Kluyveromyces lactis: one gene and its partners. The protein of the gene in region 3 interacts with the protein of the main gene of each other region in a biochemical or structural test. Links are inferred from orthologs where the notes say so. Each region holds a gene or a part of one and is shown on either strand. Other genes may lie near its edges. The genes, in order: VPS4, RFU1 and BRO1.

Region 1 (3,401 bases), on a different chromosome or scaffold from region 3:
GCCACATCAAAGTCTACTCAAAAGTATAAGAATATTATTGCTAACCCATCTGTATCTCTTTTGATCCATGACTGGGTCACAGCAAAAAAACTATCTCTGAGGAAAACAAGTGTATCCAATACTCCAGTGCCAGATTCTAATGATTCTGAAGAACAACCAAGTAGGTTGCTCAACCTTTTGCAAGAGTTGAATCAATCTGAACTATCACAAATGTCAGCCACGCTATCAGGTACAGCGACAGTTATTGATCCATCATCTGAAGAATCCGACTACTATGAAAAGCAACTACTAAGAGTGAATCCAGATGCTAATTGTTATATCAAAGGTGATGACAACGTGATCATCAAGGTTAAGATATTGGATGCAAAGATATCTGATAGCGAAAACAGAACAAGCTACTATACCTGAAGGATTATTAATCAGGGTTATTTCGTGTTCTAATGCTAAAATCAGCTAGGATTATGACTCAGTTACGTTCTATGTATATGATTATTTATCTATATTGCCCATGAAAGCATTTTGAAACATCATTACTATTATCTTTTAATTGCTGCTGGAATTCGAACTAATTTCCCTCTTGACCAAAGTCTTTGGTGAACTCTTCCTGTTTGTGTATATCTTCTTCATTAACTGTTGGTCTTGACGTTTGTATAGCCTTTAGGAAATCTTTTACAGTTAAATCAGGCTCCTGAAGTTCATCAGCATCAATATCTGTCCATGACATTTCAATGGCTTCTGGATCGCCTGGCGAACATGGTGTTAGCTTCCGTACGTCTGGATCATCCGACGAATTCTTGAAATGTGTTGCCATTTGAATCTTTCTGACAGGTTCCATTAATGCGTCCTTGACAACCACGGCAATATCGGATCCTGAATAACCATCTGTCATCTCCCCTAGAGATCTGTAATCTTCTTTTGTTAATTTACATGGTGTATCACCAACGTTCAACTCAAACATTTTTGTTCTGCTCGCAAGGTCAGGTAGGGGAATATATATTCTTCTCTCAAATCTTCTTCTAATAGCACTATCCAACTGCCATGGGATATTAGTTGCTCCTAGAACTAAGACTCCACTGGAATCATTACCTACACCATTCATTTGAACCAAAAGTTCTGTTTTTATTCTTCTGCTTGCTTCACTCTCTCCCTCTCCTCTTTGCCCGGTCAATGCATCGACTTCATCGATAAAAATGATGGACGGCTTGTTCTCTCTTGCCATGGCAAATAGTTGTTTGACCAATCTTTCTGACTCACCCATCCATTTCGAAACCAAGTCACTGGAACTTATGCTGAAAAAGGTAGAGTTGGCTTCTGTGGCAACAGCTTTCGCTAAATAGGATTTACCAGTACCTGGTGGACCATATAACAAGATTCCAGTCGTAGGCTTACGTTTACCCTTAAAAAGATGTGGGAATTTCACTGGAAGAATCACAGCTTCCTTCAATGCTTCTTTAGCACCTTCTAAACCAGCGATATCCTCCCATTTAACGTTAGGCTTTTCTGTCAAGATCGCCCCTGATAAGGCTCCTCTTAGCTTTTTATCGTCTGCATCGTCCTCTGTATTGGAATTGCCACCTGAACCAGAAGCAGTGGCTGCCTTTTTTGGCTTTTCTTGTTTCTTCTGTTGTTCTGTTTCCAAATGCTCCTTTAATTGTTCTGCACGATTCAGATACTCAGTGAATTTTGCTCGAATTAAGTCCTTAGATTTGGGGTTCTTCTCATACTTTAATGCTAGCATCAAATAGTCTAATCCATTGTAATATGCGGTGTAAGCCTCGTCATATTGCGTAGCTGTGTCTAAATCAATGGCTTTTTGTATTAAATCAATTCCCTTTGTTAAAAAATCACCGGTGCTCATATCAATGTAAGTGCTGTGAGTAGTGAACACTAAATTGTAATCTTGAAGCCGTTCTACAATTTGAATGGCTATGGTATTTCGAAATCACTATGGAGCAGGAACAGAGGGGTAAACTGAGTCACGTATCAGTCGACACACATTTAAGGCAGTACGTATCTCTATTATAATAGGCTTTTTGCAATTACTTGGGAACATCAACATAAGAAAATGTATTTGACTATGCTTTATCAAATCACGTGATTAATTACAATGTCTAATGAAATGTTCATCTACAGCACTCTTCGGATACTAGCAGTCGTGATCCTAGATTGCTTATGAGAGAGATGCCCCAGTCATATAATAGAAGAGTCTCACACTAAATATCTTTTTGCCATTAACGTTAAATAAAATAGTATATTTGTATCGAGGAAGTACTAATTCTATTTAATTATTCTGTACATATTTATAAGATTTTATAACAGAGACATTAGTAGAGTGATCTTATTTTTTATCAACGTGTTGTTCGTGGATCTTGGCGTATCTACCGGAAGGATCTTCAGCACAACCCCAGTCAGCCTTTGGAATCCATCTCATGACAGTGGAAGCAGCGGTCTTTTGTGGGAACAAAGCATCGAACTTCAATCTGTACCAGTAGGCTTCCTTGGTAGTTGGAATATCGTCACCCCATTCAGCCTTTGGTTGAGCGAATTGTTCATCAGAGATAGTGCTTTCAGCTGCATCCTTTAGACCATCAATCCAAGAGTAACCGACACCGTCGGAGAATTGTTCCTTTTGTCTCCACAAGATTTCTTCTGGTAAGTATGGTTTCAAATCTGGTTCATCCGTGGTATCGAATGCCTTTCTTAGAATGTATTTTTCGATCTTACCTTCAGCTGGTTTGATCATCTTGTCGTTTGGATCAATGTTCATACATAGTTGTAGGAAGTCCCTGTCCAAGAATGGAACACGAGCTTCTAGACCCCAAGCCATGGTAGATTTGTTAGCACGCAAACAATCAGCCAAGTGCAAGTTCTTAACTCTCTTGACAGATTCGACGTGGAATTCAGCAGCTGATGGAGCTTGTGCGAAGTATAGATAACCACCAAAGATTTCATCGGAACCTTCACCGGACAAAACCATCTTAACACCTTGAGCCTTGATCTTACGAGAAAGCAAGAACATTGGGGTGGAAGCACGGATAGTAGTGACATCGTAAGTTTCTAAGTGGTAGATAACATCGTCCAAAGCGTCTAGACCTTCCTGTAAAGTGAAAGTATGTTCGTGATGGATAGAACCGATGAATGTAGCCACCTTACGAGCAGCTTGTAAATCTGGAGCGTTTGGCAAACCAACAGCGAATGAGTGCAATCTAGACCAGCCAGCAGCATGTAGATGACCTTGTTCGTCAAGCCCAGCCAATTGATGTGGGTCACTGTCATAAACAACTGGATCAAGTTCGGCATTAGTTTTTTCTGTTTCTCTTGCGGCAATAGCAGCAATCAAAGAGGAATCCAAACCACCGGACAATAGAACACCGTAAGGAACTTCAGCCATTAATCTCTTT
Region 2 (2,580 bases), on a different chromosome or scaffold from region 3:
CAGTTTTCTCAGCGTGCTTGCTCACCTCTCGTTCTCCAATCAAGGTGGTGCCACAAGTATTGCATAAAATTGAATCTCTTGCAGTATTGAAAGACTTCCCCTCTCTTTTCATCTTCTTCGCGATCTCCTGTGTTTTTTGTAAAAGGAATTCAGTATCTTTCTCTCCGATGTCAAATACAGTTTGATGCTGAGTTCCATCAAATATCTCTACCGTATCATAATGAACTCCGTTATATGCTATAATAATAAATTTATCGTATAAATCCTCGTTGAATTTCTCGAATTTACGTGCATCCACATCGAGCACGTATATCGCATACTGAAAATGTTTCGATAATATTGCAATCTCGATACCACCTCCCCATGAAGAATGTTTCATTATCCACTCACTGTATTCATGATTCGGCCTGCCAAGAATAGCATCTGAATATTCAAATGGGTCTCTCCGGACTTCTGACGCCACAACTCCCCGTAGTTCTGATGACAGTGAAATGTTCTTGTAGACAGCATAGGATATAGCATGGAATAGACACGAATTGTCATCGGGCACTTCATGGAGTTGTAGTGCTCTAGTTGAATCTATCTGTACACTTTCAGATTTACCAGTGGGCTTCTTTTTCACTTCTTTATTGGGTAGTGTATTTGCTTTACTGGCATTAATACTTGGTTGTGTTCTGGTGGCAATAGCTTCATCGGCTTTACTCAGGCTCACTATGATCCGTTCCCCATTGCATATTCCTAGCTCTTCAAGTGTCTTAGCCTCATTCCCCTGAAAAAGTATACTCTGAGGTGGGAATCCGTACCGCATACTCTGCAATGATAGATCATCTTCATATGAGGACAGAATGAGTCCCTGAAATGTTTCCAAATCACATTCGGCTTCGACAGTTAAAACTTTGTCGCTCTTCCCAGAAATAGATACCTTGACCCTCATCTGCGAATAGGAAATATATTAAGTCTCGTTTAGCGGTGGTTATTCGACAGATATATATGGAAATGCTATGGCTATCCTCTTGGGGATGGATAGATAGTCTGTTGTTCTATCCGATTTTCCCCTTATTGCTTAGGCACTTAGAGGATTCCAAAAACAGATCACATGCTCAAGTGAAATTAACCCGTACATCACAGCAAACATTTTTCTTTGCATGCAAGAACAGTAAACGTCAAAACCACAACGAGATGAGATGAGATGACAGGTTGAGTGCATGAAGAAATAATGGAACTTTTAGTTTATTGGCACCAGTGGTGGATCAGCTGCTGTTGGGCAAGCGTTGTGTCAGCTTGAGTTATAGATGCGATTTGGAAAATAGGAGAAGAACCCGTTAAACTGAATAATCTTTTTAAATCCCAGCTTTTTCCTTTTACTCGAAAGAATATACGGTACCCGAATTAATTAAACACTGCTACTCCATCTGATACAATGAAATCCAGTTCACACTTAAAGCAAGAAGCTCTTAATTATAGATTCAATTCAAATGTGCCTCTGAAATTGTATCTGACAACTTGCATTAGCATTGTCGAGGAAGCTCAAAATAGTGCCAGGTGCAATAATATGGAGCGCGCATATCTTCTTTATATTAGATACTTAGATCTTTGTCTGAATAGACTTGTGCATCATTCAGAAGTTAACACATCAGTGGAATCGTTATACAAAAGAGAATACTTCCAACTGCTGAAGTTGGAAGTCCCTGCTATCATGAAGATTACTGAGGAATTGAAAATCAAAATAGATGCAAGATACAAGTCATTGGCAAACAATGTTGCGACATCGACCTACGTGAGATCGCCGGCTGTCATGACGACAAATCCTTCGGATGAAATTAATCTTCCGAGTTCCTTTGATGAACAAAAATTCAACCAATCTATAAGTTGGTTTAATCACAGTTCAAAGCATTTTTCAGCACAGTCAGACTCTAACAATGAATATCCCGAATTACCAGAACTCAATGCGACATCCACGTCGGTCACATATACCATGCCAGCATTATAGATTTATCTTTACTAATTTAGCATCTCCTTGCATATAGTCACCTATACACTAATTTTACCTTGTTTTCCGCGTTTAACATTTACGCATTTCAGTTTCATCATCAGTCATTACAGATATTCATAAATGTTACAAATACTATGAGAAAAATGTTATTACCTTTGAACTAGATACCAGATACAGTGTTTCGGATGATGAAGACTAGAACCTCTCATTTCATGTTAGGGTCATATCTTTACTAAACTGTCATTCCTCGTTGGACATTGGAAGTTCGTTGTAAACATTGAGTATATCTTTAATCTCCTCAATCACGGAAGCACTATTCGTGTTCATCAACTTGTTGAGCTTTCTTAGTATCCTCACTTGACATAGTGTGTTGAACATCATAATCAATGTAATTATAAACAAAAGAGAAAGTATTATATTCTCTTTTGTTAATGCTGCGTGTACCTTGTTCTCTAAATTGCTAGGAGTTGAAGGTTGTTGGACAGCAAGCTTAGATGATTTTTTTGATATTTTGCTAACACGTCTACTTTGAGGCAGGCTTTTTCTTGGTTGGATGTTGACTTTCATTTCTGACTCCTCCACGTTAT
Region 3 (4,183 bases):
GAATTTCCAAACCTCAAAGATTTTAAGGGCATATTTCAACGATTAGATCATAAATTCCCTTTTATTAATGATGTTGATATAGCCGAAGAAAAAGTGACAAAATCAAACAAGACCGGTAATGTTGATGCTCAGAGGCATTTAAAAAGCAGACGTAAGAATAATAAAGGAGATAAAACCTTGAGCTTATATGCTCGGAAAATGAAGAGAATTAAGGAAGGTTATCGGAGTTTCCTTTTAGCGGTGATGGATGGCGGCTTGGTGAGTATAGTCAAAATCACAGAAACGGATTTTGGATCTGAAAATATATGGTATGTTCCATCACCTAAAATAGTACAGTGGAAAAAACCAAACCAGAAGAAGAGAAATTAGCATTAGCATTAAATTCAAGATATATATAACCACAAACACTATTTACTGAATTTGGAATAGAGATTTTCATCAAAGACAGATGGATTGTTATAAAAGGATGTCGGTCCATTCTGCAGCTTTTGATCGCTGACAAGCCCACTGATACCGGTAGAAAGAGGTTTCGGTGGTAATTGAGGCGGACCTGGATTCACTCCGGTGTTATTAGTGTTAGCGAGATTTGCAGGACTTTGAGTTACCGAGTCATTAACATCATTGCATAAGTTTAAATTTGCGAAACTCTTTGTAAGTGTTGTAGATTGTGTAGATTTTTGTGGTAAGTTAGGTGGCAATGTGTTGGAATCTATCAAGTTTACAGATTGTCCAGGGGTGGATGCGTGGCTTAATTCTCTAGTCATCTTGAGCAAAGTGTCGTAAAAGTTTAAACCCTTCGGCAAATCGGTACTAAATATAACGAATTGGTTAAAAGCCTTTTCAACCTTATCGAAAAAGGTCTGTCTTTCTTTCACTGTATTTTCTTGTTCAGGGGTCTTATCTTGTACTCCAATAAGTTTGAAAACTTCGTCCAACTTGATTTTTATGTCGTTAATCAAATTGTTTTGTTTGAATATTGTTGCTTCAATCCTAGTACTCAACGGTTTGAATTTAGTAAGCTCTTCCTCGAAGATAACCCTCATTTCCTTTTTCGGCTTACCTGTCAGCAATATCAACTTTTGAGTTATATCATCATTGTTCAAGCTTTCTTTGAAATCTTTTAAATTTCTTGTACGTTCTTCTTTTAGTAGTCGTAGAATCTCCTGATTGTGTTTGATATTATGAAGGCGATCTAAGATCTGTTGGTTTTTTGAGTCATCGAGATCAAGTAAGCTTGGTTCATCATTCCTTATCTGAAATTTACTCATTATGCTCCACAATAACTGATGGTTTGCTAACAAATTAACTTCCTCCAAGCATGGATTGATAGATGCAAATATTTTGTCATCAGATTGAGATGCCTGCACTAAAGAGTTCTTGATTTTCAAGGCATTTTCCCTTTGATCAGGAGAGACAGAGGATAAAATTGTAAGAATCTCATTTCTTTTGTCAAGAATATTTTGCATTTGCGCTCTTACATCTTTGAAATTACTGTCTTGCACAACTTTTGACCAAGTAGTTATTTTTTGCTTCATTATTTCATATTGAGGGTCATCTGATGAACCATTTCCACCGTGTACATATCTTGATTCAAGGTCTTTGATAAGTTTCGGTAAGTCAGTAAATTCAATGAATGATTGATATTCCCAGTCTGCTGTATCCGTCTCCTCGACCTCCTTTCTTAACAATGAAGCTTTTTCCTCAGAATAGATACTCTCATTTTCATAGACTTCCATAGGCACTATACCTTTAAAGGCACCATTACAGAGATCTACAACCTGCTCTAGGTATACCTTGAGCTGTTCTTCCCAGGTCACTGGCTTTACGGCGTCCATGGTTTTGATGCTTTCTATGCTCACATCAGCTGGTATCAAATCGTTATAAATGAAATCGTTGTCCTTAATTAAACTTTTCAACTTCTCTTCTATTACTGCTTTTAACCCTGTTAGATCAATCTCATCCTTCACATATACCTTATAGAAACCAGCCTCTTTTATTTCATGTACCGCAAGCTTACCATAAGCTATCGCCTCTCCAATTTTCTTAGCTTCCTCTAGCACTCTCAAGTGATTGTATGTCGAAATAGCCCTATACAAGTGAACCTTTAGGGTAATTATATCCTTCCATTTGTCTTCTCCATAAGGCGTAGTCCCAAAAGTTGCTGTTGAACTATCCTCATAAAATTCTTGACATTTCTCATACAAATTTAAGGCAGTATGTGCTAGTTTGCTGATCAAAGATGCTCTTTTCGAAGCATCTGGTCCATTAATCAACGTCATGAGAAACATTTCCTGAGCTTCGGCGTGCAACAATGTGGAGAGAAAAGATGTATTTTCTGCTGCACAATCGATAGAAGGTGAATTCAAAAAGTTGTTCGACATATAATCGAAGCAAGCCATTGCCTTGCTCAAATAAGGAATCGCGCTCTTATAATTATCAGACATTTTTTTCTTAGCGATTTGAGACAATAGAACACCGATGTTGTACATGACAGATGATTTCTCAAAGACTACAGTATGTTGCTTGAATTTTTTTTCTGACAACCTAGAGTGATATTCTGCTTCATACCACGTGAAATCCATCTGTAATGAACCGCTGTGTGCGCCTAACCTTAGATAGATTTGCTCCAATATAGCGGCGTACTTATAGTTCTGATCTAATAATGATTCTGGCGCAAGATCTGAATTAGCAGTGGTCCTACACGAATCAATCTCTGCCGTCTTGTCGCCATCATAAAACACGGACCACTGGCTAGATCCGTATGACCTTTTCAAATAGGTTATTAACCCTTTTGTCCAACTAATACTCTCTGTATCCTTAATTTTAAGTGGAAGTAGAACTGTTTTCATTATGAAATGATCGATTTAAAAGAAATAAAGAGTAGGTACTTGCAAACTGTCTTGCAACGCACAAATGTTAACTCTGGTGTAGTGGTTCTATCTTTGATTGCCCAAGTGCTTTATCGTTCTTGGTTAAGTAGTTTGTTTGTAGATGGCTAGGTCGATTAATGAAGGTTAGCATCAAAAGTATCAAAACGTGCAAAACGATCTTTAGGCGAAGCTTTCGAAAAATTTCGATGCACATCTGATTTTAACAACAGCAGCAGATTAAAGGAATGAAGGTTGACATAAAGATGACAGCGTTTAGTAGTATCTGAACCATTCTTCGTAGTTGATCATTGGAATCATCCAGAGTGCTCTGAGACATCCCATTCTCTTTACCATTAACACCCCCCTGTGAATTAAACAAATGTTTCAACTAAGAGGAATAAGAACCGTTGGACTTTTAGGGAAGAGAGGTCGTTTCTTTAGCACCTCTAGAAGGCTTCTAGATTCCGATGGTGTTGTTAAAAAGCCTGCCCCATTCAATCCACGTCATATGGGGGTTGCAAACCAGGTATATATCGCACCTTCCAAGAAAAATATGCCTAATCCAATAACGTCCCCAGTGGCTTATTTCAATGTCTTGGTCAGGAAGATCTATACGTTAGGTATGAACACCATTCAAGTAGCCTTATTCCGTTATCAATCAGGTCTCAAGCCAAATTTTTTACTGTGGAAGAACAAAGCTATCGAAACATATGTTCAAGTTAATGAAGCTTTTGCTAAAAGAGAACTGGATACCATCAAACCTCAAGTGTCCATATGGGTTGACGAGGCTTTGACAGCGAGAGCCAAACAAATCCCATCGAACATTACCTTGGACTGGGAATTGATTAAATTCAATGAAGTTCCAAAGTTAGTTTCCACACAAGCCATGATGATTCCCGGTCGTCCAGTTGAATTAATTCAATTGATTTATAAGTTTGATACCAAACAAAGGTTAATTAAGTTCGACAAGAAGAAAAGTAAAACTGATAAACTGGACAGAGATGTTATTGACTATATCGCTTTCCTTTGCGATGCAAGCACAAATGATATTCTATTAACTGGTTCTGTTTTTGAGAGTGCACCAGACGCGAAATTGCCAAAAGATAGCGAAACTTCGAACCAAATTGTAATCGAAAGAATGAAAGTTAACGGAGACTTGTTCAGAGTTCAACCACCTGTTAAAAAAGACTGATAAAAGTATATCTTAGTAATTAAAAGGCCTCGCTTTACGATACTACCTTGTAAATACCAATGTAAAAGATGATCATTAATGACTATATTTATTTATTTTCAGTAAATTCATAGACGTCGAA

The links.
Region 1: the proteins of BRO1 (region 3) and VPS4 form a complex in vitro, tested with the Saccharomyces cerevisiae proteins (3 studies listed by BioGRID). The link is inferred for Kluyveromyces lactis from reciprocal best matches to the Saccharomyces cerevisiae genes BRO1 and VPS4.
Region 2: the proteins of BRO1 (region 3) and RFU1 form a complex in vitro, tested with the Saccharomyces cerevisiae proteins (2 studies listed by BioGRID). The link is inferred for Kluyveromyces lactis from reciprocal best matches to the Saccharomyces cerevisiae genes BRO1 and RFU1.

What each region holds. Positions count from the first base shown.
Region 1 is NC_006038.1:948,773-952,173, forward strand, and holds VPS4 (AAA family ATPase VPS4), read right to left. Parts: upstream 1,859-3,401; coding exon 566-1,858; downstream 1-565. Other genes in the region: KLLA0_B10824g (pyridoxal 5'-phosphate synthase), read left to right, coding at 1-408; ASN1 (asparagine synthase (glutamine-hydrolyzing) 1), read right to left, coding at 2,339-3,401. UniProt on the Saccharomyces cerevisiae protein: Involved in the transport of biosynthetic membrane proteins from the prevacuolar/endosomal compartment to the vacuole. Required for multivesicular body (MVB) protein sorting.
Region 2 is NC_006040.1:484,107-486,686, reverse strand, and holds RFU1 (Rfu1p), read left to right. Parts: upstream 1-1,420; coding exon 1,421-1,990; downstream 1,991-2,580. Other genes in the region: ubiquitin-specific protease OTU1, read right to left, coding at 1-934; LAM6 (Lam6p), read right to left, coding at 2,234-2,580. UniProt on the Saccharomyces cerevisiae protein: Inhibitor of the DOA4 deubiquitinase involved in the regulation of protein degradation by the proteasome and maintenance of a normal level of free ubiquitin.
Region 3 is NC_006041.1:2,120,350-2,124,532, forward strand, and holds BRO1 (Bro1p), read right to left. Parts: upstream 2,850-4,183; coding exon 408-2,849; downstream 1-407. Other genes in the region: tRNA splicing endonuclease subunit SEN54, read left to right, coding at 1-369; MBA1 (Mba1p), read left to right, coding at 3,250-4,062. UniProt on the Saccharomyces cerevisiae protein: Class E VPS protein involved in concentration and sorting of cargo proteins of the multivesicular body (MVB) for incorporation into intralumenal vesicles. Fusion between endosomes and the vacuole will then target the cargo proteins to the vacuolar lumen.